Linked DNA regions of Xenopus tropicalis. The protein of the gene in region 7 interacts with the protein of the main gene of each other region in a pairwise test. Links are inferred from orthologs where the notes say so. Each region holds a gene or a part of one and is shown on either strand. Other genes may lie near its edges. The genes, in order: rai1, jakmip2, abi2, ankrd40, zmiz2, amot and pin1.

Region 1 (4,531 bases), on a different chromosome or scaffold from region 7:
GTATGTAGAATCGGAGCTGTGCATTTGTGCATTAACCCACAGCAACCAAAAAACCTTGACTTTCTGAATCAGATCAGTTGTGATCAAATGACCAAATAATTGGGGAGCCAAAAAGCCCTGATCCAGCCAGAAAGCAGGCAGTAGCACAGGGTCTCCTCTGGGTGGCAGCAAAGCGCAGGCAGAAGCGACTTCATAGCTTCTATAGAATGAATATTATCCTTATTATTTATACATGACAGGCAATGCCCAAATGGAGCTTCTCCTTTCACTATCTTTAGTTATTTAACCTTGGGAGGAAACCCACACAACAGGGGGAAAGTACACAAACCCCTTGCCAGTGTGGCCTTGGCTGGATCTGAACCCAGGGCCCCAGCACGGAAAGGTCACAGCTACTAACAGTATAACTATAAAGGAAAGGGTTAAGGGCAACTAATACAGCAAACCCCTCCCCAAAAGTAGTTCCTGTAGCTTCAGAGGTGTAACCCACCAACCCAAAAGAGGCGGGGCTTACTGGAAAGTGGCTATGGGTTTAAATGGGTAGCTGGTAATATTCTCCCAGCCAACATTCCCCAGGCAGCCATTCCCAAGCCAATCAGATCTCTCCAATGCTGGTGTTTCTCCCTGGGACAGTTTAGAAACCAAGGGACACCAGCAACAGGGTTAGGTGGGGTCTGTGTTCACTTCTAAAAATAAGGTTCCATTGGTTTCTATGAGACAAGACACACTGACCATAGACAGTAGCACAGACTGCCCTCTATCATTGCTGGTTTCAGGGTAGGGCATGTGGGAACATGTGTAATTGTATAACACACACTATTTGACTATATATAATGAACATATAAATTCCCAGAATGCCTCCGACAGGGAAAGGCCCATGTCTCTGCGGGGTAAAACCAGAAGCTATTATTATCCTGCCTAAAATAGCGCCGTGTGGTTTGGCCCAAAAACGTCAGCGACTCGGAGGGTAAAATCCATCAAGTCGTGCTCTGAGGCTGAGGTCCGGTTTTTGGGAGACTGGCCCAGTTTCTGGGTTTGGCCCAATTAGCTGCGTGTAAGGGGGGGGGGTATCCTTCCAGGTGTGAGTGGATTTATTCCTTCTGGACTCCCCCCCATCCTATCATTGCAGGGTTCCATATAGTCTGCTTGCTGCAGGGGTTAAACCAGCGCTGGGAGGAGGAAATGATCCCTTAGGTGTCCATTGACTCGGATCCACCACTAGGGGGCGCTCCCGGCCTTGCCGTCATCCCTTGCCCTCCCTCCATATACAGCAGGGCAGCCTCCTCTGGAAGTCTTTGTACCGATAGCGAGCAGGGAAGCGGGCACAGCTCACCTGGCAGCCTGGCATTGCCCTGTCTTCAGCCGGATTAGGGGGGACCCCCCTGCATATGGCCTGTGCCTGCCTGTCCCCACAAGGAGCCGACACAGAGGAGCTGGCAGCTGGAGAGAGGTAGGGGGGATTTACCCGTTCTACCAACTAATCATGTGCCCACCAGTAGGGACCCCTTAATCTTCTTATTCCTGGCACCCCTGCTAGCTGCTGGGCTGAGTGGGTGCAAGCTGCCACTTAGTGTCTAAGCTACTGAACTAAAGGGGGGTGCAAAGTGGCATTTAACCTCTTAGCTGCTAGGCTTGAGAGGGGGTGCAAGGTGGCTTTAAACCTCTTAACTGCTGGGCTTGAGGGGGGGGGCAAGTTGGCACTTATCTTCTTATGATAGAGGCAGTACCCAGGTGGTGTTTAACCCCTTAGCTGCTTGGCGTGAAGGGGTGCAAGTTGACAGTTAGTTTAACTGCTGAACTAGGGGCGGTGCCCAGGTGGCATTTAACCCCTTAGCTGCTCGGCTGAAGGGGGTGCCAGGTGACACTTAATGTCCTTGCTGCTGGGCTGAAGTGGGTGCAAGGTGACAATATTAGGCCTGCAATGTATATATATATATATTTTGTTTCTCATTTTTAACCTAATGTACTGATTGCTTCCACTGTCGCCGTGATATCATTGCAAACACTTGAGAAATCATTGTTGTGCCGACTTGGCACCAGGCAAGAATTGCATCATCATGTGCCAGCCCCTTGGCATCAGTGGCGCTCTCGGTGGGGTTATAACGGTGCAATGGTGTGAAATAATAACAATAACAGTTCCCTGTTCACCAGCTGGAGGTTACAGAGTCAGAGCTGGCAGTGAGGACTGACTACCTAAACTGCATTCAGTTAATGAAATACTTCTATGCGGTTGGTCACAAAGCTTTCCTTGGGTAGAGGGCACCTATGATATATATATATATATGTGTATATATATATATGCACACTTGTAGGCACTGAGGGCCTGTTGGGAGATTTTTGTGTAGATCCCTTATATAGCAGTGGGCATAATGCCATCCTGTTTGGTGGCCTTATAGACCAGCTACTATTATGTAACATAGTAACATAGTAAGTTGGGTTGAAAAAAGACATACGTCCATCACGTTCAACCATAATGACTATATATGTGCTCTAATGGGTGTGTGAGGCACAATTTTACTCCATCTGAGCATCTGAGGGGTCAGTGTAACTGAGGGTCTTGGCCTCAGACCGTATTTCATATGAATCAAGGCATGGGTGGGAGAGTGGCCCCAGTGAGATGCCACCTGTATACATGCATGGTAAGGCAAGAGTAGGAAGGGGGCGTAACTGTGGGTTAGTGTGTATGTATGGGGCCACTGGTTGCACAGCAGCGCTTTCTATATGAATACCAGGGCCCCATATAGATTGGGGAGCACAATAAAGTGGTACATGCTGCTGGTATCTACCGTATAGATGGGGTTTTGCTTTCACTGATTCAGTTATAACATGTGACACATTCAGACAGAATAGGAGTGACCCTTGTTAGGCAACTTCAGTGTCTATGGGGCTCCATTTTGAGTGCTTTGGGGCACAGCGCCCAAAACACTGATTGCTCTGACAGATTGTCAAGTATGTTATCTGTATATAGGGTTGTTTGTGCTTGAATGGCAGTGCCACCGGTAGAGCTATTCAGCTGTTCGGCTGGAAGAATCCAACAATACCAGTATATTTCCTTATTACAAACATGCCCAATGGCAAGAAACCATGTCAAAATGCATGTGACTGGGTACTAGGAGTTCCCTGTCCCAGTCCCGCAGGGCCCTGGGCCCGTACCACTGCTGCCCAATACTTGCCTCAGTCATTTTGCCCTGCTGTACCACACGGGAAGTGGGGGCAGGTATCAGGTGTTCTGATCACTGTGGGCAGGGAAGACTAGAGGCCATGTTCTCCGGTGGGCCCAGGTACTAAAGTTAAAGGTATCCGCCTGTCACTTGGCACACAGGGTAAATTTTAAGCCCACAAACCATCAAAAGTGAATTTTAGGGCTGATACCATTGCAGATAATGGCATTAGGTGGGCATTAAAGTGATACAGGTATGGGATCCCTTATCTGGAAACCCTGTTAACCAGAAAGCTCCAAATTCCGGAAAGCCCATGTCCCATAGGCTCCATTTTAATCAAATAATTCAGAATTTTAAAATTGATTTCTTCTTTCTCTGTAATAATAAAACAGTACCTGTACTTGATCCCAACTAAGATATAATTACCCCTTATTGGGGCAGAACAGCCCTATTGGGTTTATTTAATGGTTAAATGATTCCCTTTTCTCTGTAATAATAAAACAGTACCTGTACTTGATCCCAACTAAGATATAATTACCCCTTATTGGGGGCAGAACAGCCCTATTGGGTTTATTTAATGGTTAAATGATTCCCTTTTCTCTGTAATAATAAAACAGTACCTGTACTTGATCCCAACTAAGATATAATTACCCCTTATTGGGGGCAGAACAGCCCTATTGGGTTTATTTAATGGTTAAATGATTCCCTTTTCTCTGTAATAATAAAACAGTACCTGTACTTGATCCCAACTAAGATATAATTACCCCTTATTGGGGGCAGAACAATCCTATTGGGTTTATTTAATGGTTAAATGATTCCCTTTTCTCTGTAATAATAAAACAGTACCTTGTAATTGATCCCAACTAAGATATAAATAATCCTTATTGGATGCAAAACAACCCTATGGGGTTTAATTAATGTTTTATTGATTTTTTAGTAGACTTAAGGTATGGAGATCCGAATTACGGAAAGACCCCTTATCCGGAATACCCTTGGTCCCGAGCATTCTGGATAACGGGTCCTATACCCGAACTGACAAGTTAAAAATTTTGGCACCAATTTCATGTTCTAAATATAGACCACTTCTACCCTCTCACAGTTCCCCCCGTGGCTTTTTCTCACTAATGATGTAGGAGGACCGGGGGCAAAAACCTTAGAGGGTCTCATGTAACAGTGTGTGTTAGCGGATAGGCCTAGTAGTAATTAAGGCCAGCTTTCTTCAGCTGAGGTGAGGCCTGGCCTAAACTACAATGCTGCACTTGAGGCCTGAGTGAAACCAAGATGGAGGACGTGTGAATTGGATCCCATCCAGGAAGTGCTAGTGACAGGCTTTTCCCAGAATCCTTCAGGCATGCAATCCTTCGCTGTTTGAA
Region 2 (4,032 bases), about 93 Mb from region 7:
ATCCACACTTCTTGGGAAATGCCAGTAAATATCTGCATACAGAGGGAAAACCTTCACACAGATTAGAGTGGCAGCATTTGTAAAGCAAAGGCCTAGTGAATGGTCAGTAGGATTTTCTATTAATGTACAGAAAATCAAGGCAAGTGTAAGACCTGCACTTGCCTTTTAATGTGGTTAGGATATGAATTATAGCACACATTTCTTGATTAGTGACGAGTGAATCTCTCCTTTTTTGCTTCTCTGAAAAATTTGTGAAACTGCTGAAAAATTTGCGAAACTGAAATATTCCCGAAATACGGCTACTGCATACATTTTTCAATGCGTGCAACTTTTTTTCATGCAACCAAGACTTTTTCTTCACTTGCCAACTTTTGTCACAACAACTTTTTTCTGTGGCAAATTTTGCAAAAAAAATCACCAGTTGCGAAATGTGGAATTTGCCAGCGATTCCATGCCTGCTGAAAAAATTTGCTCACCACTACTCTTGATGAATTCACTATAGGAAAACACATCTCTTCCATTTAGCCTAGTACATCATTACTAGCCTTACTAGTAACACTCCTGTATAAATACCTTATACAATCTATGCCTAAACAAAGGGACTAAACACCAAATTAATTCAGCAACTGTAGTGACATAATAAAAAATTAAACATTTTTAAATTATTTCAGGGCTTCCAAGAGTGCAAAGGGTGGTACTTCCCTGCATCATAACATAAGAGGGGCCCAACATCCACTGGGGATGGCTGCTCCTAACTGAGTCGCGAGGTTGGACCAACACAAAGTAGGCAGCAATCATGTCTAAGAAAGGCAGAAACAAGGCTGAAAAGCCGGAAGCTCTTTTACTTGCTCTTCAAGCTGCTAATGAAGACCTCAGGGCAAAATTAACAGACATTCAAATTGAGCTGCATCAGGAAAAGTCTAAGGTAAGAAAAGCCATTTAGCTTCTGATCAGCATGTCCAGATGTCCAAATGTCCAGTCTTCACCATAAATGATCCCAGATGACACAAGCACAATGTCCATCCTGCAACTTTCCTCTTCCAAAAGTAAAGAAGATTTCATATTCTCTGCTGAAGGGAATGATAGCTGTAAGTAAATGGCTGGGGCAATATAGGCTGGAATGGTAAGGGGTCTTCAGTCCAACACAACAGTAGTTGTGTTCATCCTTATCACTAATTTTTCTCTACACCCATGGTGTAACTAGAAACTATTGTAATTTTACAGTTCCGTAAAGTTTGAGAATAAAACATTTTTCATAAATATAGGCTGAACCTACTTTTCAATCAGAGCTCCACTGGTCCCCCTATACCTCCAGGCTCCCCAGCTCTCACTGGTTGTGCTTCCTCTATCTATCACAGTGTAAAATAAAATGGCCATTTTTCAGTTTCATGATATTCCTGTCCAACAGCTCTTCCAAAACCAAGTGCTTTAATCAGGACCAGAATGGGAATAGGGTTTAGGAAACAGAGGTGGCTGTCTAGGGCCAAGGTGACTGCCTAGGGCTGCAGAAGCACCATTTTAATTGAGATGCTAGTAGAAGCACTTATGTAGTGCAAATTCATTATAAGCATTTATATTTACCAGAATTATTTCCTGTGCTCCCAGATCAACTATGACATACACTGTTCATTGTAGGCAATGGCATTGCATGTCTACTAATATAAGACAACAAAAAGCCTTGGTCTGTAGAGACATGGTGAAGCTAGTTTTAGTCTCTTCTGGCTATGTAACTGGAGACTTTATGTTACCTAAATCATGAAAATTGAGGTCCTGTCGTCTGTCATATAATGAACTTTTCACAGGCTCAGGCTAGCTCTCTGACAGCACCAGCAAATGCCACTATGCTCTCTATAACTTGTATTGGCATTTACAGGAATTGTGTACACAGTCCTTTAAGGGTTAGTGTGATAAAATGCCAGAACATTATTATTATTAATCTCACTGTGTTACTGACATTTTAATGGAAATCTGATTTTTTGAACAACATTTTAAAGAAAAGTATTGCCTGTGCTGGTATTTTCTCCAAAAACAAAACAAAAACAATACTTCAGAGCATTAGAAAAGTATGCTGACTCTTTTGTATTTTTATAGAGAAGGGTCAATATCACTGCCCCTTCTGTTATATAATAGTGACCCACCTGTTTAGCTGGCGGCGTGCACAGTTTATGTACTGGAATGGAGGAAAGTGGAGGAGCCCAAAGATGCTGGAAAACCAATTTAAACTGCGTCCCTGACCTATACCCAGGCCAGAATGAAGGCTGCGTATTGGTTTTCTTTTATGAAAATGTATTTAATTTGCATAATACTAATTATCATTAGATATGTAATTCTGTTTATTGTTAACTCTTGTGCTTTCTCCAAAACACAGGTAAGTAAACTTGAACGGGAGAAGAACCAGGAAAGCAAACGCATTAAGGAGCAAGAGCAGCACAGACACACTGTTACAGTTACCGAACTAAAGTCAAAGCTTCATGAAGAGAAGATGAAGGAGCTTCAGGCGGTGAGGGAAAACCTAATCAAACAGCACGAGCAGGAAATGTCAAGAATGGTCAAACTAAAAGAGGCAGAGATCCTGCGTCTCAAGTCAACTGTCAATGCCTTGAGGGATGGCAGTAGTGACAAAATAAGGACAGCACTGAGCACTGAGGCGCGGGAGGAGGCCAGAAAGGTTTTTGACTCTGAGCGCCTCAAGCTCTTACAGGAAATTACAGAGCTAAAGTCGGCCAAGAAGCAAGTGGACGAGGCCCTTAATAATATGATACAGGCAGACAAAATTAAAGCTGGAGATCTGCGGAGTGAACACCAGTCCCATCAAGAGGCCATTGCCAAGATTAAATGGGAAAGTGAAAGGGACATCAGAAGACTGGTAAAACCTAATTTTATTCTTATAAAAAGAGATATGTTTACAATGTTAAAAAATATATATCACAGGGAAAAAAATACTTGCAATATTTTAAGTAGGACAAAAGAGATACCTTCCTGGCTCCATAGCAGGGTACATGTAAATAAATCAGATATAAGTGTATGGAGCAGGACAAAATGTTGTAGAACAGTATACACCTTAAGACACCTTTGCTAAAAATGAGCACATTAAATAGCATTGTGTTGAAATTACATTCAACATATTGTTTTCATTTTAAAAAAATCCATATTTTCCTATTTTTGCCATTATAAAGCACTAATATGAAAACTGGACTATTTCCTTAAACTTAATCCCAACGTTCTTTAAAAACAGGTCAATTTTTCCTATCAACCTTTGAAGAAACAAACCCCTCCCTTCTCTAAGCAACTGAGTAGCTTATTATCAGGGACTTCTCAGGTGTCTAATTTTCGTTATCAGCTTCTGAGCCTTTTAATGCCCCCAAACCATACTCTGTAAAGTAACTTGTCTAAAGTCAAAAGAGATTGGCCAAAACAAGGTTTTGCATCACTGGGGTAAATGCCATTTGGCACAATTATACACCACATAACTCCAGGTTAGGCACAAGACTAGGCAGAGTTGCACTGTTCTGTGCCATATGTATATGTCAAGGTTTTTGCATTGTGGCACAACCTGGGCACCAATATGTGGATGTGCCGATTGTTGCTTTGTAAAGTATTGTTTTTTCAATCAGTATGATGCTTTTTATAAAAAATCTTATATGGAATAATAACATAACCTTTTCTTTTTTTTTTTTTTTTAATGTTGTGCTTCAGATGGATGAAATAAAAGCAAAGGACAGGATAATCTTCTCATTAGAGAAAGAACTAGAAACCCAGACCGGTTTTGTGCAGAAGCTCCAGCTCCAGAAAGAGGCTTTGGATGAGCAGCTATTTCTAGTAAAGGAGGCAGAGTGCAACGTAGGGAGCCCTAAAAGGGAGATCCCAGGGCGAGCAGGGGATGGCTCTGAACATTGTGGCAGCCCGGTAACAGAATTTCATCTAATTTTCCTTCAGTGCTATATACTGTAGGTGTGTTTGTCTGCACATGAGTGGGGCCATAAAACAGATGTATAGGGCCAAAATGGAAAAAAATGTTTACCAGCAAGAGGC
Region 3 (4,802 bases), on a different chromosome or scaffold from region 7:
CTCATTTTCTTTTTATTGCACATTCTCATTGGATTTACACTGAAACCCCTACAGGTCATTGCAGCAGAATATGGTGAACACAGCTATTAACTCCCTGTTGGTTTGCACTAAAATATTACATGAGGGATGTCAACACCATAGCTTTATAGCAGGGAGGCATACATACATAATACTTCACATAAATATTTGGACTAAACCAGAACCCTAATAAACAAATTAAAATATGAACTGAAGTTTTTCTGTTAAAATGTTAAGGTTCTAGAGCAAAAAAAATGTATTTTTGCTATTTGGCCAGTAAATTTTCAACTGGTTCTAGCAAATCCCAAAAATGAGAAAATTCAGCCAGCTCCCAAACCTGTCTTAAATTAAATCTTCTTACCAGTCATAGGTAAATGTATGAATAAGAAACCAACAACACAGACAAAAAAAAATCCCACTCACTATTCCAGGTTTAAACAACTTTCCAAACCTTCTATATTAAAAAATTTAAGCCCAATGCTGGCAATATTAGGTCATTAATACATATATAATACATCATTCATTATTGGGTCAATTCTAAGCATTTTACTTTTTGTAGTTTTAGCACATTTACATTTGCAATTCCGTTTTGAGTCAAGATCAACATGATAACGTGATTTACTGAATCGGCAAAAAAACAAACCAAAACTAAGTATTACAGATAGTGAATCTATTATGCTTAGGACATGGGGTTTTCTAGATAAGGGGTCTTTCCATAATTTAGATCACCACACCTTATGTTTGCTAAAAATAATTAAAGCCCAAAATAAACCCAAAAGAATTGTTTTGCCACCAATATGGATTTGTGGCTTAGTCAGGATCAAGCACTATTTGCTTATAATGGATTCTAAGGGGATGAACTTGCCATAATTCAGAATTTTCTGGATAACAGGTTTCGATTTAACCAATCCGATTTCTTTAATTTTTATTTCATTTTCAAGAACTTCTGAAATCAACAGATGAAATGAATATACATCAATCTATTTGATCATTGTGGCTCTGTAAGACATACTAAGGTGCAAGTGTTGTGCCTATACAAGTTATTATTAGTTATTTACTGAAAGGAACAGATGCCAAAACTCAACATAGAAAAAAACTATTTTTTATAGTTCTTGAATTGTTTGCTTTCTTCTTGTAAGTCTTGGCAACTTTTAAATGGGGGTCACTGATTCAGGTCCTCTCCTCTTTATATATCAGTCTCTAATTCAAACATCACCCTGGTTGCTAAGGTAAGTTACACCCTAGCAACCAGATAACTGCTAAAGCTCCAAACTGGAAAACTGCTGAACTACAAATAATAAAAAAAGACCAATTGCAAATTGTCTCAGAATATTACTCTCTACATCATACTAAAAATTAACTCAAAGGTGAACGACCCCTCTAAGCAATTGGAAGTGTAACTGCTTCCCATTCAACTGAGTGTTGGAAGGAGTAAAGTGTGCTTCATCTCCTTTTGGTAGTCAGAAAGGAAACAGCCACATCAAACCACCACATAGTTGTAATTAACCTTCCAAGCAGTATGCAGACGCTCCACAAGAGTTTTTAACAGCTAAGCACATATGTGTCATGGGAAACGTAAGATGCATTTCCTAATGTAAACCTGCATAATTAATAAAAAAGGGACAAATCAGGGATGTCTCACACATTAATTACATGCTCCCTGTGGTAATGAAACCCTAGGGCAGTCACTGCATAACTGTATATAAAGCCCATACCATTTCATCAGTGTTCTACTCCATAAAACTACAATTAAATATATATATGAAAGATAAGCATTTCACAATATGACAAATAATGTATTCCATGACTGAAAAATATACATTGGTGTCTGTGTGAAAAATTAACAGCCTAAGAATCAGCTTTAATAAACGTGTGACATGGGGGGTCAGGGCATGCAGCCCAAAACAAGGAAAGAGAAAACCTACATATTCCATAGGCAGGAGTATAGGCTCAGCTCTGATACACTGCACTTACTGCTTATAGCCAGCTCTTACCTACAGAACAGGTATGCAGGTTCATTTTCTTTACAACTGTACACTAAATGGTAACATAACCAAGATATTTTGAATCTCACCAATTGCTTAGTAGCTTCCTAACATCACACACATAGTTGGCATAGTGGACATGTCTGGAATAACCCAACAGCCCATAAAGTGTAGGTGTATTCCAGTATAATGCTCCTGACTGAATGAACCATGTGACTGGTGAATGGGGGGGGGTGGATTTGAAGCAAAGTAACCTATTCTTGGGGGGCAACCTATGGCTCAATATTGATACTGGCCATTTTGGCAATTATAGGAGGTTTAAGATTGCACTCTTTACACTCAACCTCAATTGCCTCAATCTTACATTTTTACTGCACATTCCCACATAATATGATGTCATTTGCTATAGAAAATGCAGTAATAACATCTCCCCCCCTGCCTGTAGGAAGAGTGGTGTGTGCCACGTGATGCTATATATAAATACATGGTGACGTGACAGCAAGGCTTGCACAGCTACCCGTAAGGGTCAATATTGCAATAGGGTGAAGAGTGGGATTATTACACTATAATGTGCGTGCATATCCCAACGTGCCTGCCCATCACGGTGCTTTCATTATACTCAGGATCATCACACTGCATTTCACTAGTCATTTCTCTGTAAGTCCCAGCATCCCTCCCTCTATATAGGAAAGCCTAACTAGAGATGCCGGGACATAGACCGCAATCACATCTATACAAAGCTGCAGATCGGCGGTGTACGAGAAGCCCAGTCCAGTATTCCCTTGCCCCTGTCTAGCGCTACATCACATTCACAGCTCTAAAAAGTCGGACCTGTATGTAATTGTTCTCGCAGTAGTCGGCCACCCTCTCTAGGTTTGTGTAGCTGTCCAGCAGGGCCCGCCGGCCGCCCGGAATCTCTTCCTCCAGCAGCATCTGCAGCTCCGCCATCTTTTTCACCACATCCTCCTCCTTTTGGAGCCCCGCTACACTGCGGAGAGATGGAATGGTGAAGCGATCCTCGGGAGCGCGCCCTGCGCGTAACTATAATTAAAAAAAAATCCGAGAACGCGCTCCAAAAAAAAGGCGGCGTGCCCAATAGGATATGCACTTCCACGCACTAATCCATGGGAAACGCATGCGCACAACATAGGTAGGCGGAACCCTGGAATACGCGCTTCTGGCCGTCCTGCTGCATCCTCATTTGAAAACTCGTTTCCTAGCAACAGAGAGACACTGAGATGGAGGAATGTGGGAATAGAAGGGACGAAGGTGGTGACCGTTCCAGCCCTCTCTTTTATCATCCGTAAAGCCTAGCGATAATGAACATATAAGCCCAGTGTTAGTAATAAAAATAAGAACTTAACAAGGAACACAGCAAATTAGAAATGGCTTGAATTTGGTAATCATACTGCCTAGTTGCATAATTAGAAGCTATGGGGGATGTACATAAATATCATAGGACCCTCAAAATTTGGGGGAAAAGTCTCCTGCATTTATAATAACAAATTATGAATTTAGTGCTTCCCTAATTCAAGGTCACATGGTTTCTTGTTAGCTCAGTTTAAAAAAAGACATAATCTGCCTATTGGCCTGTTATCAAAATGATGGCCTCTGATTATAAAATGATTATAAAGGTCAGAGATGGATCCAGAAGTTTAAAACACTCAATTGCCATGGAGCATATCTGACCATGGATGCAGTCCCTTCCTGTTGGTTTGCAGGGCTCCTGATCATTACATTGGGTTCTAAACAATTGGATCAGATAAGTTTAGTCCACCAGTGGAAAGGTTTTTACCACAACCCAGATAGTTTTAGTCTTAAGTACAGGCCAGATTACATGATATTTCCAATGCTTTATAATTAAACACAGGCCAGATTACATGACATTTCCAATGCTTTATAAAGTTTGTCATGAACTAAAATTAAAGTCAGTAGTTTGAGCATGGCTTTCTGTTGCTGGTGCTGGAAATTGTTCTGCAACTGCTTAAAGTCCACAAAAGGATCAGCTCTTCTGAAGGTCAAAATTGCCAATGATCTTATTGAATACAGCGTTGAGTGAATAAAATATCAAGGAAAAGTGCTTTAGACATAAGCATAGGTCAGATCACATCATGTTTGTGATCATTTTTCATTGTTTGTCATGTACTTAAAGTAAACCCAGTAGTTTGGGCACAGCCTTCTTTTGCTGGTGCTGGAAATTGTTCTTCTTAAAGGCAACAGAAAGCTCAGCTCTTCTGTAAGTCAAAACTTCTAATGATCCTTTTGAATAGAGGAGTGAGTGAATAAAATATCAAGGAAGAAATACAAGAGCATTATGGATCATGTTTGTTTTATCAGTCTGAACTACCACCATCTGCAAATGCTATAGAACCCCAGCAGCTTCCAGTACTTTTTTTTTTAACTTCAGCAATATAGGACTCACTGCAGACTGTATTAAAGGAACAGTAACACCAAAAAATGAAAGTGTATAAAAATAATATATTATATACTATTGCTCTGCACTGGTAAAAGTTGTGTGTTTTCCTAATAAACACTACTACAGCTTATATAAATACCCTGCTGTGTAGCCATGGGGGCAGCCATTTAAAAAAGGAGAAAAGGCACAGGTTACTAAGCAGATAACAGATAAGTAGCATAGTTTCCCATTGTATTCTACACAGTTTATCTGTTATCTTCTTATGTAACCTGTGCCTTTTCTCCTTTTTCAATTTAAATGGCTGCCCCCATGGCTACACAGCAGCTATTTCTATTAACTATAGTAGTCTTTCTAAGGCAAACACACAACTTTTACCAGTGCAG
Region 4 (4,692 bases), on a different chromosome or scaffold from region 7:
TGTCCCGGATTCTTATCAAAATGTCCCGCGGTGCCTTTAAGAGTCCCGCTCGTCTGCAGGTCTTCTCGGGTTTTCTCGGCTCATTCCGTCACCGCTATCTTCGGATCTTCACGGCTTCTTCCGCGCGTTTGTCTTCGGCTCTTTCTGGCTCCTTCAGGTGCTTTGGCATTCGGTCCTTTTGTAGTTTTATGCAAGTCTCGCGAGATGAGTATGGCAGAGCAAGCCATTTCACTTGAAATTCAGAAGTAACAGGATGGGTGCTGGTGCTGCTCCTGCTCAGACTGTGGGTCACAAAAGTTACGCTGGTGCTGCTGTGCCTTTATCTACTACTGTGCAAGCTCTACTTACTGCTCCTTTTTTTAAAAAAAATAAGCTTGGTGAGTCCCTGACTGTAACAAAGGTGTTTATTAATAATTAATATTAATTATTAATAAACACTTTTGTTACAGTCAGTAATTATTAATAAACACCTTTGTTACAGTCAGGGACTCACCAAGCTCATTTTTTTTTAAAAAAAGGAGCAGTAAGTAGAGCTTGTACAGTAGTAGATAAAGGCACAGCAGCACCAGCGTAACTTTTGTGACCCGCAGCCTGAGCAGCACCAGCACCCACAACAACAAAAAAAAAATGTGCAGGAAGAAGCTGTGAAGACCCAAAGACAACAGTGACAGAAGGAGCCAAGGAAACCCGAAGGAAGCCAAAAAGACCTGAAGACGAGCAGGACACTTAAAGACACAGCGGGACATTTCAGTAAGTATCTGGGACAGCGGGACGGTGTGCAAAAATGGGACATCTGGGGGTGTGGCCATATAGTGGGCGCGGCAAAATATTTTTTCCCTCTTTTTCGTTTTCAAATGTTGGGAGGTATGGCCTAGGGCCCAACGATTGGGGGATGCCAGGCAGGAGCCTCTCCTGCCTACCCCATGTCATTGCCCCATTGCCCCAGCCGCTTGTCATTACGCGGTGGGGGCAATGATCCATCGCATCGCACCCCGAGGTTGCCTAGGGCGCCTGGTCGCCTCGGCCCGCCCCTGAACAGGACCCCAAAACTCCCAGAAATGTGTTCAAACTTTAAATAATCTGCCAAATTTAGTCAAATGTGAGTGGTGTTTAGGGGGTGTGGCTGCAAAAAAATGGCCATGGTCAAAAAATCATTTATTTTTGTCCCTCTTTCCCTTTTCAAAATGTTGGGAGGTGAGATACTGAGTCAGTCTCAAACTGAGGGGGGGGAGTGATTGCTTAGACCTATAGCTTCAAGGAACCTTCATTATAATAATCAACAAAATGAAGAATCGCTATAAAAAATACATCTAAACACTAGTATTTATTATTGAAGCCAGTGGCGCAATATTATGCCCCAGCAAGAGACACATTCCGGGCCTGTGTATTCGTGCGTAACCCGGAACCAAAGTGCCGCGCCTGCGGTGTCCCACGGATTCCTGTCCCCCAGCAGAGTGTTCCGGAGACATGCCTCCATCCGGGAGGGCGGATTATCTCTATTTTTACGTTAAATCGGAAGAGTGGGATCGTGATCTTGGGACCTTTACAGTGTGATGGTTGGTGTGTGAGTGGGACTGAGCCGTACGTACCCTGTGCGTTACACAGCTATTATGTTGCTTTGGGCCCGGGGGTAGGGCTACACTGGCACCACTTCCCTGCCCGCTCCGGGCTCTCTCATTATCACACTGCCCCAATTATAGATTCTTTTCTACTCGTTTGATTCGCAGAAGAATCACAAAGCTGCCTTTTTATTTTGCATAAAATCTGATATATATTTCTATTACTGCAGCCAGATGAAGATGTTACTAGAGTAAAACCGAGGTCCCATTTTTATTTTTGGAACCCACCTACATGGAAGAAGGATTGAGGGAGGCTGCTGCTTTGGGGGATTTGGAAGAGGTGCAGAAGCTGCTGAGATGTGGGGCCAATGTTAATTCACAGAATGAAATCAATGGCTGGTAAGTGGCACCCCCAACCCCCATCTTGTTGTTTATATGGGGGTGGGGAATTGGTTCTGGAAGTGTAAGTTCTCCCTGCAGGGTAGCATGGCTCCAGTAGATGGGTATTCAGGTAGGCACAGTGGGACAAATATAGGGTCCTGTTAGTACTTGGGCACTCCTAGGCAGTTTGGGTGATGGGTGTTATTATGATATATACATATATATATATATATATATACATACACATACATACAAGAACAAATGGAGCACACCCTATACAAGATCAAAAGCCCTGAGTGCTGGCAAAAATAAATCCGATGTTTCGAGCACTAACGGTGCTCTTCCTCAGGGTTCGTGCTCGAAACGTCAGATCTTTTTCAATAAATACTTTATTTATATATAAATATATATATTTATATACAAAAAAGTTCTCACGACCGCACCTCACTCCAAAATGCTAATAAATAGCTGCCCATGTGCACGGAATACAAAATAAAACACAGCCAGCACCAAGGGTCTTATAGTTCAAAACAATCTCAAGTGTATTGCATGTATAACCAATAATACATGCAATACACTTGAGATTGTTTGAACTATAAGACCCTTGGTGCTGGCTGTGCTATATAAAAGAGCAATAAAGGCCAGCACTCACGGGACTTTTAAGAAAATATTGTGTCAGCAAAAATAAATGGTATACAAAAATTGTCTACATGGTTTTTTATATATATATATATATATATATATAACAAAATAAATATAGGGGGTCTGATAGCTATCTGACTAAGGGTCCCCATACACGGTAAGATCGCCAAGCGAGCGGATCTTCCCCCGATATCCCCACCTACAGGTCGGCGATATCGGGGAGCTCGAAGTTAAAAAAATAAAAATAAAAAATAGGCGATTATATAGGCGGCAATGTATCAGTCGGTTCGGGGACCGCATCAACGAGCCGATGCGGCCCCCGATCCGACTGAATCTTTTAACCTGGCCGATCGATAGCTGGCCAATTTCAGGCCAGATATCGGTCGGCCAGTCTGCTCGTTTCTGCCCCTACACGGGCAGATAAGCTGCCGAGTCGGCCCAAGGGACCCATATCGGCAGCTATTATCGGCCCGTGTATGGGGGCCTTTAAGCATCAAATGGACCTTTTCTACTCTCATCACAGATTTCTGCTTCAACCAAGCCAGAACCCTGCAGAGGTATGGAGGAGAAAATTAACAAAGCAACCATCCAGGATTTTGCTTTAAAGGGGTTGTTAACCTTCAAAATAATTTTTATAATAACATAAAGGGTGCTGTTCTGAGACAATTTGCAATTGGTCTTCATTTTCTAATATTTGTGTTTTTTTAATTGCTTTTTGTTCAGCAGCCCTTCAGCTGGGAATTTCAGCAACTATCTAGTTGCTAGGGTCCAATATAACTTAGCAACCAAGCAGTGGTTTGACAGAAAGACAGAAATATGAATAGGAGAGGGGCTGAATAGAAAAATAAGTCATAAAACGTAACGATAACAATAAAACTGGAGCCTCACAGAGCAATAGTTTTTTGGCCCCCATTTAAAATCTGGAAAGCTTAAAAAATATATAAAAAATGTAGACCAATTGTAAGAATAGGCCATTCTATAACATACTAAAAGTTAACCTGAAGGTGATCCACCCATTTAATTAAAGTTATCCATTATTAAGTATATATCTCTGTCCTTGTTCCTTATCCCTCTGCGCCATTGCTCTAAATCATAGCTGATTATATGCAGTGGGCAAATTATATATGATATTGCAGGTTTAAGGGCTGGATTACATTAAAAAGATAATATACAGTAAGGTCTGTGGAGCTTTTAGGCAGCCTGGGAGCCATAAAAATCCACTCAGAGGCCTCCCGTTGGATGGCCCTGCTCTAAATGATAATGTACCATTCGGGTAAAGGGTAACCGATCCGGTATTGTCCACTGGCTCTGACTTGCAGCATGGCTCCAGTGCTTTTGGCATGCACATATATGGGTTTAATAGCCAGACTCCCAGATGGATATTTTCATATCTCTTTATGGCAGTAGTGTTTTGGGGGGACCCATTCTCTTTGGGCCTGATGAAGGAAACATGGAAACATTGCTGCAATAAATGTAGGAGCAGGGACGGCACAGAGTTACTCTTTCTGTAAATTTTTAGGGATCGGCACTCCACTAAGGCTCAACTTTGTAGCTGCCTTTCCACCCTGCCTCCCTGCACTCACCCCAGTTATCAAGTGGCCCCAGTGGCTTCTACCCCAACTCCCAGAGTAGCATTGCCCCTCCCAGTATCCCTCAGGCTCTTGACTGGCATCCCACCCACACTCCTTGATGATGTCACTCACAGCTAAAGACACCCAGGGCGGCTTTCAGTATAGTACTGGTATAACCCAGCTGTTCCTCTAGACCCCACTGGCCTATATTCATTATATTTGTATGTATCTCCCCAAGGACTTGCCTGCATTGGGCGTGCAAGCGGAACCACCTGCACGTTGTGTCGTTCCTATTAGAAGCCGGAGCCGATGAAGATATTCTAACGAGCAAAGGAGAGAGGCCAGTGCAACTGACGTCCAAGAAAGACATCAAGAGGCTTCTGGGAGGTGAGACTGACATGCCCAGACTGGGGGTTCTACTTACATGGATACTAGTGATGTGTGGGTTGAAAAATTTCAAGCCGACCCGGCCTGCTAAGCTGCGTCAGTTTATATACCCACACCTGCCCCGCCTCTGACATCACAGTTAGGTCGCAGAC
Region 5 (4,032 bases), about 10 Mb from region 7:
TGAGTGCAGGCAGGAGGTGTGATGCTATATAGTAAGGAGTGCAGGCAGGAGGTGTGATGCTATATAGTAAGGAGTGCAGGCAGGAGGTGAGATGCTATATAGTAAGGAGTGCAGGCAGGGAGTCTGATGCTATATAGTAATGAGTGCAGGCAGGAGGTGTGATGCTATATAGTAATGAGTGCAGGCAGGAGGTGTGATGCTATGTAGCAAGTAGAGCAGTCAGTAGGTGAGATGCTATATAGCAAGGAGTGCAATCAGTAGGTGAGATGCTGTATAGCAAGGAGTGCAGGCAGGAGATGTGATGCTGTATAGTAAGGAGTGCAGGAAGGATGGGAGTTTCTCGTGGCTGTTTCTCATTAAATAATGTGATAAAAAGTAATATAACAGGGAGGGTGGATTGTGTTTGGGATTCAGGGATCACATTTGTGTTTGTAATGCAGCGAGTGGGGCACTGCTGTGCAGTGCAGAGTGTTGTTGCTGTGTGTTGGAGTGAGACCTGTGCAGTACAGAGGGGAGCTGTGCTGTGAGGGAGGGGGCTATGCATTCTTGTTTGTTTGGGTTGGACAGACTGATCCTGTTGAGCAAGAACAAGACAGAACCCGATGTTCCAGGGACATGTTGGGAGAGAGAGGGAGGCGGAGGGAGCAGCATGATGAGGAGTAGAGGATTTGTGTATTAATGCCAGCCCTACTGGCTGCACCATGCTCATTAACCCTGCTCGGTAACTCATGCCTTTTTCCAGGAATTGTATGCCTGCCCTTGCGCTTTTGTGTCTGGGCATTATCGACTTTTTTGTCTCCCCTCACCATTTTATTAATTTATTACTTTGGATTCCTACAAGCACAGAAATAATAAACTCATGTCCATACAGTTATGCAGCCTGTAACTCCCGGCATCCGTAGCCAACATGCATTGTGGAGGAATCTGGGATTTGTAGCTAGTGGTATGTCAGTTAGACCTTCTCACTTAGCCTGCTGAAACCAGGGTATTAATGAATACATGCTTCAGTTATGTGACAATCCCCTGTTTTCTTAAGGACTACTCTTTGAAACTGTGACTCCCAGCATCCTTGGCCAATATGCATGGTGAAGGATTCTGGGATTTGTAGCTAGATGTACATCACTTATACTTCTCATTTGGCCTATTGAAGCCAGGGTATTAATGAATACCGTACCTGCTTGTGTTCTGTGACAACCCCAACCTTCCCCCCTAACCCGGTTTTGTTTTTACATCTACTTCATACTTACATAGATTCCTGTACCTTAACTCCCAGCAACCCCCTTTCATTAATCATCAGCCATTATGATATCTAAATCCTCTGTAAAAGAACCTAGTTTACTTTTTGTTGATATTTTTACTATTACCTGTATGTACTTCAGCCCCTCAACTAGTAATGCTCCAGTTCAAACCCTGGTTGCTAGGGTAGGTAGGGCCCTAGCAACCAGGTAACAGGTGTTCAGTTGCAAACTGGACAGCCGCAAACATTTTTTTTCACTAATTCAAACACTATAACAATTAAAAAGCTTATGTTAGGGTTAACATAAAGTTTTCTGGATAATTGATAATAAACTAGTGTAGAAGTGGAGATTGTTTTCTTAGTCTGTCCGACACTTTCCTCGTATATTTTCCTTATATTTGCCCTGCTGTCGACACCTGCTACCCCTTTCTCCTGCCCACTCACAAAGAAAGTTTCCCCTTCCCCTGCTGCACTTGTTCATTTCTGTCTCCCACTTACTGCTCAGCCTTTTCCGTCCCTGCCCCTGTTAATTTCCTTCCTGTCCCCCAATGAGCACTCCCTTTGCTGTGTCTGTACTTCCTGCGCACACCCTATCCGACCCCCTGCTAGTGTGCTGCTCATTGGTTCTCCTCTGTGCACACATACCCTGGTGACCCTTGCCTTCTGAGCAGCAGCTGACTCCTCCTGTAATGTATTTGTAGGCTGCCGTGCTACCAGTCCTGCTGCACCCCAGTGTAGAAGCATATATGTATTTATGTGCCTCCATTTTATGAAGTGACCCAAATGCAGCTAGGTGCTACTCAAGCCAAGTTTGTGGACGTCATGTGTTGATTTTGAGATACAGTTTCTGCAGTGGCTGGGGGTGAAATTCCCTGCTCCCTTGGGGAGGTTGCCTGTGTACAAATGCCCAGGAATGGGCAAAGGAATTTGTTTAAGCGTGCACTTTGGAGCATAAGAGAGGGCGGTACCTGTTTGTGAGGGGGATGAGGGGGTTTTCATTGGTGTCTTCCCTGCTGGGCAGTTACAGTGTCTCCTGACAGAAACAGGGTTAATCATGGGGTGTCTAACTAGTGCCAGATGCGGGCAACTTGCCAACTTCCACGTCCTGTGTACAGAATGCGTGGTCATGTGACAAGAGGAAGGGAGAGGGGCAGATGAGCAAATTGTTAACCCCTAAAGCGGACTCTAAAATAGGCAACTTCTTTATAATAGATTGAGGCTATCAAATCTGTGGTAAACGAGCCCATGAACTGCGACTTCCATCATCCTTAACCAACGTGGGTATTTGCATGGTTTGGCATTGGCTGAAGCCATTTACCTCACACATTGCTGTCATTGGTTTGTGTGAATTGCCGCTCAGTAACTTGCCAGTAGTGTGCTGACCCTGTATAGGATATGAGCTGGGTGGGGAATGAGGGGATGTGTGCGAGAGGTTTGGCGTCACATAATTGCTAGGGAGGGTACTGAGCAGCTGTGATGTAGGGAACGGTGAGGTGATACTGTATATCATTGTTCTTCAGCCCCTTACAAAGAGAGTCGCCTGCAAATGAACTCCATGAACCCCATGAAACCATCGCACCCCAGCACCGGGCACAGGTGAGAGACCGCTACCCCTATCTCTTTCACACCTCTCCCTGCTCTTCCTGCATGTGCACTGCCATTTTCCCTCTGAACACACACACTGACTCCTGCCTGCCTATATCCGTGCCCTTCTTGTCCCTTTGCATGCTCACACACACACACACACACACACACACACACACACACACACTGCACTTGCTACCATTTCTAAGCGCACAACTATTTTCCTCCTCTGTCTGACAGTGATGGTTCATTTGCATACGAGTCTGTTCCCTGGCAACCAAGCACCAATCAGGCAGCAGGATCCCTCTCCGTGGTAACCACCGTCTGGGGTCTGAGCAACACATCGCAGAGCCAGGTAATTTGATGTCACTGGGGGAGGTGCCTTCTAAACTGTTCAGCCTTAACCTTTCCCCTGCCAGTGCCTTACAAAGCACTGATGCATTAAATCCTTCCAGCCAACCTGTAATATATTATATTGTACCTGCAATTCATTTCTCATTTACTTGTCCTCTAAAAAGCACACAACATATTATATATTTATATACAGGTTTCCTGCACCTTTGCCTGACCACTACAAAGAACCTACTACATTTTTTCTTTAATTCTTTCTTCTCCTCAGGTCTTTGGTAATCCCATGGTGCCCAGTGGTGGCCCCAGTGGGGGCGGAGTTATGCCAGGTCTAACAAGCAATGCTGGGGGGATGGGAAGCCCCCAGTTTATTGGCCAGCAAGGTTTCCCTGAAGGTGGAGCAGGAAAGAGTTACCTACAGCAAAGCGTATATGGGCGAGGTGGATACCCTGGGGGCAATGCGTATACCAATAGGTACTGTAACTGCTCTGTGCTGTTTAGGTGGGTGTGGGGTGGTGGTTGGACAGGTTGATCTATATTTCCATTAATTATAATTTTTGTGTTCATTAGTGTATAATGCATGTGTATATATTTGTATTTCTAGCACAGTCATTGCAAATGTGTGTGTGTGTTTTTTGTCCTACAGTTACCCCGGTGGCCCCACATCTGCAGGTGGCATGGGCATGCCACAGCATACCGGTCGTGGCCCAGCAGATTTCACACAGGCAGCAGCTGCAGCAGCGGTGGCAGCAGCCACAGCAACTGCTACTGCAACAGCAACCGTGGCTGCCCTACAGGAGAAACAGAGCCAGGAATTAAACCCATATGGAGCGGTGAGGACAAGTCTCCACCTTTCTTGTTTG
Region 6 (4,032 bases), on a different chromosome or scaffold from region 7:
CCATTCTCCGAGTGGGAGTTTTGATACTTCTCTTGAGGCGCGGATCCAAAAGGAAGAAGAAGAGATTCTTTTGGCCAACAGACGCTGTGTAGATATGGAGGGCAGGTGAGCAGTTTGAGATTCCAAGCAAGCAGGTAGCCTAGAATAACATGGACCCTGCAGTTGGCAGTGTCTATCTTATTGGCCAGTGATGATTCATGTAATATTTACTCCATTCAAATTAGACTTTGGTCATTATAAACAATTGCTTTGGGCTGGCAGAGCAAATCTGCAAGTCATATTACAAAATGGGTAGTTGGTGTAAAGAGTCCTTACCTGCTGGGAAATTATTTGTTTTCATAAGTTTCTTTTATTTTAGTATTTAGTAAACTCATTAAGAATATTCAATATAAGTTAACGTTTGTTTCTCTTTTGGTTTGTCTTGCAGGATAAAGACACTACACGCCCAGATTATTGAAAAAGATGCAATGATTAAAGTTCTCCAGCAGCGGTCCCGCAAGGACCCGAGCAAAACAGACCAATCCTCTACCATGCGGCCTTCCAAGTCACTTATGTCCATTTCCAATGCAGGATCTGGGCTGCTTTCCCACTCCTCTGCACTGAGTAGCACTCCCATTTTGGAAGAGAAGCGGGAGGACAAGAGTTGGAAGGGCAGCTTGGGTAATTATAGCATTACATTACAGCAAACCAACTTCATATAATTCTCAAGGTTGAGTAGTTGCATACACTATATTACTCTAAGGTAGTGCTGTCCAACTTCTGTTGTACCGAGGGCCGGAATTTTTCCGACCTACGTGGTGGAGGGCCGATAATGGAAGCCAGTTTTGACAACTCCCCTTTTTGAAACCGCACCCACTTGAAACCACACCCATGTTATCACATGACCATACCCATATTAATGGTTGTAGTACAGCAAAAACCTGCCATACTCTGCCTGCCCTACCCTGCCTGTGTGCCATACTCTGCCTGCCCTACCCTGCCTTTGTGTGTGCTATACTCTGCCTTCCCTACCCTGCCTGTGTGTGCCATACTGTGCCTGCCCTACCCTGCCTGCGTGCCATACTTTCACTGTGTGTGCCATTCTTGGCTGGTTTGTGCCATACTTGGCCTGTGTGTGCCATACTCTGCCTGCCCTACCCTGCCTGTGTGTGCCATACTCTGCCTTTCCTACCCTGCCTGTGTGTGCCATGCTCTGCCTTTCCTACCCTGCCTGTGTGTGCCATACTTTCACTGTGTGTGCCATTCTTGGCTGGTTTGTGCCAAACTTGGCCTGTGTGTGCCATACTCTGCCTGCCCTACTCTGCCTGTGTGTGCCATACTCTGCCTTCCCTACCCTGCCTGTGTGTGCCATACTCTGCTTGCCCTATGCTGCCTGTGTGTATGGCACACACAGGCAGCCTACAGTGACACAATGCTGGCACTGCTCCTACAGTCTGCACAATAACTATATATTAAAAAACTTTTTAATTGTAGTACCACCTCAGTATATGTTCTTTTTGTAGTGTGCAGGGATTATTTGTGGGTTTCTACTGCTCCTGAGGTGTGAACAGGGGAACAATGGGGGTGATTACAGCCTGAGCCTGAGGTGTGAACAATGCAGAGATTAAAAGGTGTGAACAACACAGGGGATTACATATTTAAACAATACAGCCTGATTACAGCCTGAATCTGAGGTGAGAACCATGCAGGGGGGGGGGGGGGGGCAGTTAATCACAGTACTGATACCATTTAAAGCTTACACAAGAGTAAGCCATCAAAGCAGCCAGACAGGTGGGGGGCCACACAGAGGGGGGTCGCGGGCCGCCAGTTGGACAGCACTGCTCTAAGGGCACACAAGGTGATATTTAAACATGACTTTCTCATGTTGCCTTGTAAAATAATTGATGGATTGCCTAAATATTTTATTTTAGGAGTACTACTTGGAACTGAATATCGATCGGAATCTGCATCCTCCACTCCCTCCCCTATTCTTCCCTCCACACCCCTTCTCTCTGGACACTCCAAGACGGGTAGCAAGGATTGCTGCACACAGACAGACAGAGGGGCTGAGCAAAACAAAACTCCATCAGTGAGTGCTTCTCCTGGCCCCGGGAGGCTGACTACTCCTAGCCCTATGTACACCTCAGAGAGAACAGGTACTATTCCACAATACCGTATTTTTCCGAAGGACTAGCTATACAGCAAATTATTTTGAAATGTAAACAAACCATTTCAGTTTTTGAAATTTAAATGTTGCAAATTGTTTCAAAACCAGATATGATTTTTAAGTTAACTTAATGTCACTATAAAGTGCATGTTGAGAAAATTAAACTACAGTTTTTATTTTGTATAAGGGAATATATTTTTATTCCACCTCCTCCTTGTCATAGTAGTAGGTCTAGTAGTAGGTCTAGATCATTGTCTTATAAATCACTAATAATTGTCTGACAGGCTAAGGAGATAAGAAGATGCTATAATGATATCATTTTCTTTTCCTATCTCCTCCACTTTTCTTATACAAACAAATCATTAGGCCAGTCTGTCCCTTAGCTGTTCTGTCTGCTTGCAGGTCAACTGAGTGCACTGCCCCCAGGTCAAAACCCATACTAAATCATAATACAGATTTGTAAAAGGCATGAAAAGACTGTTTGTGATACTAGCACATATGTTAGTCTTATTTAGAACCACAACGGTTTAGAACTACTGTATTTTTTTAATCTTATAAAGTGGCTGAATTTGATTTTTTTTCCTGTTTAATCTTCCAGCAGACACAGTTTTCCAGTCAAGCACCTTGGATCGAAAGAACCCTCTCCCACCTCTGGGGCAGGATCTCACAGATGGGGAGTTGGTGGAATATCTCATATAAGCACAGGGTTTATTTTTTTCATAACAGTTATTTATAGGAAGAGTGGCCCCAAATTATTTATATGGACACTAAGCAAATTAAATAAGTTTGTTTTCTATTACAGTAATCTTTCCTTTCATATTTAAAAAAACACATGTATTTTGTACCAAAAAAGGGGACTGAATCTCTGCAGAACGACGTTTTTCCGGATTTACACGTGGCTACACTGTTGTAGGCAGATAAATGAATTTATGCCATTTCTGGCACTGAAGGGTTAACTCACAGGCCTCTGTGTGTAGCATTATTTGCCAACAGAACTGCGCCAAACAAGAATGCACTTCTTTCATAATGACTTATATATTATATGAAGAAAAATGTGGGTGGCTGGTGTGTGGGCCCCACAATATTTTTTTTTCTTTTGTTTCTATTGTTCCCGCCATCTTTAAAATAAGTTCCTTACTCTGCAAAATGCATTTATTAGAATTTTTGTAGATATGATACTCTTTCACAGTGAGTCTTTCTGGGAACCTCTGTACTAGTAACAGGATGCATTTAGAAAAGCTGAACCTTGTGGATCCAACAGCCATCTGCATTTTAAAGTATTGCATATGTATATGTAACAGCTTTTAAACTATGGCAGTAGATGTTGTGTGACCTTATGTACAAGCCAAGTAATTCACCTTGGTTATCAGGTTTGGAAAGGATTACTGTAGTGTCCTTCACTAGTGGCACTCAGTTTGGTCTGTATCTCAGTTTAAGTGACTGAGCTGCCATACTGAGATGCTCTGACAACTAATCATGAGAAGTTCTGATTTTAAACAAACACCACTGGCCAAAAAAAACATTTTTCCAATGTATATAAATGTAAAGATTACTCTGGTATTTGCAAGCAAAAGTACATTCTTAGCCAATTATCCATTCAGAGCTGAATTTGGCAGTATAAAGTCAAGGCAGTATAGGTTGAAGTGCTACTGTACACGCCCAGGCTCTTCTTGGCTCATTTGCTTAGTATTAATTGTATTGGTTACTAGTATGATTAATGCTATGCAAAAATAGCTGGGGTATTTACAGTAGTGCATGAATTCTCACTGACCTGCCTGCCTCTGACTTTGTGCTGCTAAACTTTGCATCAGCAACAGCCCCCAGTTTATTGGCAATCAATACTCTCTGCTTTGTCTATCACAAAGAGAGAACATTACACGGTTTCC
Region 7 (4,509 bases):
AGCATCTCACTTTTCCTGGCTCCCCCTGGCCATTTTTCCCACCAGTAGTGGGCCTTTCCCATTGGCTGGCATTGGTCATGTGATTGAAATAATATACACGCCCTGTTTAAACCAAGACAAAGCACAAGAGAGATGTAAGGGCAAAGCCTCGTGCAACCTGTGCAAACAAGCAGTGATACTCACAGAGCTGCCAACATCCTAATGTTTTAACCAAGAGGGTAGCTGTGCCTGTACCACAAATATAACTTAATAGCGCTAGTGGGGGACAGCTATATTGATTATAAAGTACAGCAAGAGTATCTAGTACACAGGCAGTAAAGTAAAGCCAAAGTTTGCTATGTCAAAAGAACATTTATTCCCTGCTTACGTCTATACTCACAAGCAGCCATAACTGGGTATAAAAAAAAAAGCAGGAGAATTCATAGCATAGCGTTACTCATACATTAACATATCTGCTCATTTGATCTGAGCCAGATCGGATTGTTCAGATTGACTGGCTTCTGGGCCAATAAAAAGCAGATTCTAAAATGGCCCTATGCAGACCCATTAGTCAAGGACAACATAAACGCACTAATTCAGTTCTCGTCACCATACATGCATTTATGTATAATTTTTTTGTAAATAGTGCTACTTATGAATGCAGCACTGTACATGGGCCAATAAGCTGCAAACGATCTCTCCCTACTATTATCCCCCCACCGCTACTATAGGCACCATCTCTCCCTACTATACCTGCTATCCCACAGCCCCAGTCCCTTCCCAGAGGCTATTATCCCCCCACTGCTACTATAGGCACCATCTCTCCCTACTATACCTGCTATCCCACAGCCCCAGTCCCTTCCCAGAGGCTATTATCCCCCCACTGCTACTATAGGCACCATCTCTCCCTACTATACCTGCTATCCCACAGCCCCAGTCCCTTCCCAGAGGCTATTATCCCCCCCCCCCACTGCTACTATAGGCACCATCTCTCCCTACTATACCTGCTATCCCACAGCCCCTTCCCAGAGGCTATTATCCCCCCACTGCTACTATAGGCACCATCTCTCCCTACTATACCTGCTATCCCACAGCCACAGTCCCTTCCCAGAGGCTATTATCCCCCCACTGCTACTATAAGCACCATCTCTCCCTACTATTCCTGCTATCCCACAGCCCCAGTCCCTTCCCAGAGGCTATTATCCCACTGCTACTATAGGCACCATCTCTCCCTACTATACCTGCTATCCCACAGCCCCAGTCCCTTCCCAGAGGCTCTCTCTCCCTACTATATCTGCTATCCCACAGCCCCAGTCCCTTCCCAGAGGCTATTATCCCCCACTGCTACTATAGGCACCATCTCTCCCTACTATACCTGCTATCCCACAGCCACAGTCCCTTCCCAGAGGCTATTATCCCCCCACTGCTACTATAAGCACCATCTCTCCCTACTATTCCTGCTATCCCACAGCCCCAGTCCCTTCCCAGAGGCTATTATCCCACTGCTACTATAGGCACCATCTCTCCCTACTATACCTGCTATCCCACAGCCACAGTCCCTTCCCAGAGGCTATTATCCCCCCACTGCTACTATAAGCACCATCTCTCCCTACTATTCCTGCTATCCCACAGCCCCAGTCCCTTCCCAGAGGCTATTATCCCACTGCTACTATAGGCACCGTCTCTCCCTACTATACCTGCTATCCCACAGCCCCAGTCCCTTCCCAGAGGCTCTCTCTCCCTACTATACCTGCTATCCCACAGCCCCAGTCCCTTTCCAGAGGCTATTATCCCCCCACTGCTACTATAGGCACCATCTCTCCCTACTATACCTGCTATCCCACAGCCCCAGTCCCTTCCCAGAGGCTCTCTCTCCCTACTATACCTGCTATCCCACAGCCCCAGTCCCTTCCCAGAGGCTCTCTCTCCCTACTATACCTGCTATCCCACAGCCCCAGTCCCTTCCCAGAGGCTATTACCCCCCCCACTGCTACTATAGGCACCATCTCTCCCTACTATACCTGCTATCCCACAGCCCCAGTCCCTTCCCAGAGGCTATTACCCCCCCACTGCTACTATAGGCACCATCTCTCCCTACTATACCTGCTATCCCACAGCCCCAGTCCCTTCCCAGAGGCTATTACCCCCCCACTGCTACTATAGGCACCATCTCTCCCTACTATACCTGCTATCCCACAGCCCCAGTCCCTTCCCAGAGTCTATTATCCCCCCCACTGCTACTATAGGCACCATCTCTCCCTACTATACCTGCTATCCCACAGCCCCAGTCCCTTCCCAGAGGCTATTATCGCCCCACTGCTACTATAGGCACCATCTCTCCCTACTATACCTGCTATCCCACAGCCCCAGTCCCTTCCCAGAGGCTATTACCCCCCACTGCTACTATAGGCACCATCTCTCCCTACTATACCTGCTATCCCACAGCCCCAGTCCCTTCCCAGAGGCTATTATCCCCCCACTGCTACTATAGGCACCATCTCTCCCTACTATACCACGGCCCTTTCCCAGGGGCCACTGTACTAATTTAGGCCCCACTAAGGATCTCTGAAGGGCCTTGCCTGCTTGGCTCCTGACTGAAGACCATTCCCGAGCAGGATACATACAATACATAGCCACAAGGCACCATGTTAATCACAGACACATCAGCATCTAAGCAGGAACAGATCGAACTCTGACACAAATGACACTGAACAGATAGGTGCAGATACTAGGGCACCAGTCATGGCCCCATACAGTAGCAGAAGCAGTCAATGCTTAGCATTTCTTAGTCTGTTTACAGGCGACTAAATACTATAATGCGCAATGCAAAGTGGGAATTGTAGTTCTGCAGCTTTGCAACAGCACCTTTATCAGGACGCTATGCACAGTGCAAGACACAATAAAATAGGAACAGCTACAAAGCAAACCAGCGCTGCACTAACTCTATATAACAACTGTGCCCGCTACACTCCATATACCCGAGCTTCGACTCATGCGCTTCTCCCACCCGGGCGGTAGCTTCTCCTCGTCCGCCATCTTTCCCTCCTGCGTCAGGCCAAGCCCCGCCTACACAAACCACTCCGTCAGCTCGGCGCTTCTCATTGGTTAAGTCCCTGCTAAGCTTTTAGCCATTAAGCTAACTAATCTGCCGACGACGTAGTCAGCCTGAAAACCGAAAGCAAGGGCGGGAAATGATATGCGCCCACTATTGGCTGTAACGGAATAAACGGAGTAATTAATAAAACAAGGGGCGGGGCTGAGAGGTTGTACGCATTGGCAGCAGTATGACGCATGCGCAGAAATGTGTTCGCGTCTCTCTCTATTCTTACGCATTAAAATTGCTCTCACAAGCATGGGTGGCAGGTTAGCGGTTTTTCTGCCAAATTGGGCTACTAATTTAAAGCCCTGGTTTGTTTTTAAATTACAAACCCGCCAAAGTACCGTTTTGGACTAGTTTTTGGAGCCTTGGCGGGTTTGTAGTTTGGAACCTAGCCAGTTTTTTCCCCTAGTGTGCTTGTTCCACTGCATGCTGGGTAATGTAGTTTGTAGCTAACAATTAGCCTACAACTAGGAGTAATATAAAACTACAATACCCAGCTTGCAATTGGGCAGTTTAGCCAGAGGCTCCGTTTTCTATTCCTTTTTGCTCTTTCAGGCTCAACCTGTATGTTCTGCTCCCTGCTCTATAGGGTATGTGATGTGGGGGCAGGTCTGTAGTTATCTTGGGGCTGCTGAGAGTTGTAGTTGAACGCACCCATATTTATAAGTCTGGGGTTAATGCAAGATTCTGAATCTATTTCTGTAGCGACTTCCCAGCTGGACTGGGCACAGAGGGCAGGGAATTATCAGCCATTCCAGTAACTGGGTAGTGATTATATGCTTTAAAAAGGCAGGTTTTCCCATATGTACTTTTATTTTTGTAGAATTTTTTTCATTGCACATTGGGCTATTTTTGGGTTACTTTCAAAGTGGGTTTGGACTAGTATTTCACTGGTTTTAGAACTGACTGGCGATTTGGAAAAATAAATCTGGCAATTTCACATACAACCTTCCCTGGTGGTCTAGTGGTTAGGATTCGGCGCTCTCACCGCCGCGGCCCGGGTTCGATTCCCGGTCAGGGAAAGTGTGTTTTGCTTAATTGTAACAACAGCCCTTTATTTTATTGCTCAATCGTTTTTATAACAGCAGCCATTATTAAAAAAAAGCTTGCCAGCTTTATATATAATATAGAATAAAATAAAGATGATAGTTAGTGATATTTTATTGTGTGACGAGATCATGTATGGCAGCTTTGCATGCTCACTGAAACTGTAGGCGGATTTTTACAAGAGAACTGGGATGATAGTACATTACAGAGGGGCTGTAGTGGTAAATGGAAAGTTTCACAAGTGCCCGGCTAGCTCAGTCGGTAGAGCATGAGACTCTTAATCTCAGGGTCGTGGGTTCGAGCCCCACGTTGGGCGCAACTCTTTTCTTGCTGATCTACTTGGTGGGTATTATTTTACCTACAATTATCAGTTTGTTATAGCA

The links.
Region 1: the proteins of pin1 (region 7) and rai1 interact in binary tests that used the Homo sapiens proteins (3 or more experiments, as listed by UniProt). The two-hybrid records come from large-scale screens. The link is inferred for Xenopus tropicalis from reciprocal best matches to the Homo sapiens genes PIN1 and RAI1.
Region 2: the proteins of pin1 (region 7) and jakmip2 interact in binary tests that used the Homo sapiens proteins (3 or more experiments, as listed by UniProt). The two-hybrid records come from large-scale screens. The link is inferred for Xenopus tropicalis from reciprocal best matches to the Homo sapiens genes PIN1 and JAKMIP2.
Region 3: the proteins of pin1 (region 7) and abi2 interact in binary tests that used the Homo sapiens proteins (3 or more experiments, as listed by UniProt). The link is inferred for Xenopus tropicalis from reciprocal best matches to the Homo sapiens genes PIN1 and ABI2.
Region 4: the proteins of pin1 (region 7) and ankrd40 interact in binary tests that used the Homo sapiens proteins (3 or more experiments, as listed by UniProt). The two-hybrid records come from large-scale screens. The link is inferred for Xenopus tropicalis from reciprocal best matches to the Homo sapiens genes PIN1 and ANKRD40.
Region 5: the proteins of pin1 (region 7) and zmiz2 interact in binary tests that used the Homo sapiens proteins (3 or more experiments, as listed by UniProt). The two-hybrid records come from large-scale screens. The link is inferred for Xenopus tropicalis from reciprocal best matches to the Homo sapiens genes PIN1 and ZMIZ2.
Region 6: the proteins of pin1 (region 7) and amot interact in binary tests that used the Homo sapiens proteins (3 or more experiments, as listed by UniProt). The two-hybrid records come from large-scale screens. The link is inferred for Xenopus tropicalis from reciprocal best matches to the Homo sapiens genes PIN1 and AMOT.

What each region holds. Positions count from the first base shown.
Region 1 is NC_030685.2:15,514,960-15,519,490, reverse strand, and holds the start of rai1 (retinoic acid-induced protein 1), read left to right. Parts: upstream 1-1,260; 5' UTR 1,261-1,447; intron 1,448-4,531. UniProt on the Homo sapiens protein: Transcriptional regulator of the circadian clock components: CLOCK, BMAL1, BMAL2, PER1/3, CRY1/2, NR1D1/2 and RORA/C. Positively regulates the transcriptional activity of CLOCK a core component of the circadian clock.
Region 2 is NC_030679.2:43,563,686-43,567,717, forward strand, and holds part of jakmip2 (janus kinase and microtubule-interacting protein 2), read left to right. Parts: intron 1-671; 5' UTR 672-796; coding exon 797-925; intron 926-2,368; coding exon 2,369-2,866; intron 2,867-3,696; coding exon 3,697-3,906; intron 3,907-4,032.
Region 3 is NC_030685.2:54,198,072-54,202,873, reverse strand, and holds the start of abi2 (abl interactor 2), read right to left. Parts: upstream 3,034-4,802; 5' UTR 2,952-3,033; coding exon 2,835-2,951; intron 1-2,834. UniProt on the Homo sapiens protein: Regulator of actin cytoskeleton dynamics underlying cell motility and adhesion. Functions as a component of the WAVE complex, which activates actin nucleating machinery Arp2/3 to drive lamellipodia formation.
Region 4 is NC_030686.2:46,622,598-46,627,289, forward strand, and holds the start of ankrd40 (ankyrin repeat domain-containing protein 40), read left to right. Parts: upstream 1-1,484; 5' UTR 1,485-1,556; exon of another isoform or gene 1,557-1,789; 5' UTR 1,790-1,851; coding exon 1,852-1,958; intron 1,959-4,391; coding exon 4,392-4,540; intron 4,541-4,692.
Region 5 is NC_030679.2:126,301,110-126,305,141, reverse strand, and holds part of zmiz2 (zinc finger MIZ domain-containing protein 2), read left to right. Parts: intron 1-2,757; 5' UTR 2,758-2,783; coding exon 2,784-2,833; intron 2,834-3,061; coding exon 3,062-3,176; intron 3,177-3,440; coding exon 3,441-3,643; intron 3,644-3,815; coding exon 3,816-4,002; intron 4,003-4,032. UniProt on the Homo sapiens protein: Increases ligand-dependent transcriptional activity of AR and other nuclear hormone receptors.
Region 6 is NC_030684.2:52,156,278-52,160,309, reverse strand, and holds part of amot (angiomotin), read left to right. Parts: coding exon 1-105; intron 106-427; coding exon 428-660; intron 661-1,910; coding exon 1,911-2,135; intron 2,136-2,744; coding exon 2,745-2,845; 3' UTR 2,846-4,032.
Region 7 is NC_030679.2:136,780,161-136,784,669, forward strand, and holds the start of pin1 (peptidyl-prolyl cis-trans isomerase NIMA-interacting 1), read right to left. Parts: upstream 3,065-4,509; 5' UTR 3,016-3,064; coding exon 2,958-3,015; exon of another isoform or gene 2,922-2,957; intron 103-2,921; coding exon 1-102. UniProt on the Homo sapiens protein: Peptidyl-prolyl cis/trans isomerase (PPIase) that binds to and isomerizes specific phosphorylated Ser/Thr-Pro (pSer/Thr-Pro) motifs.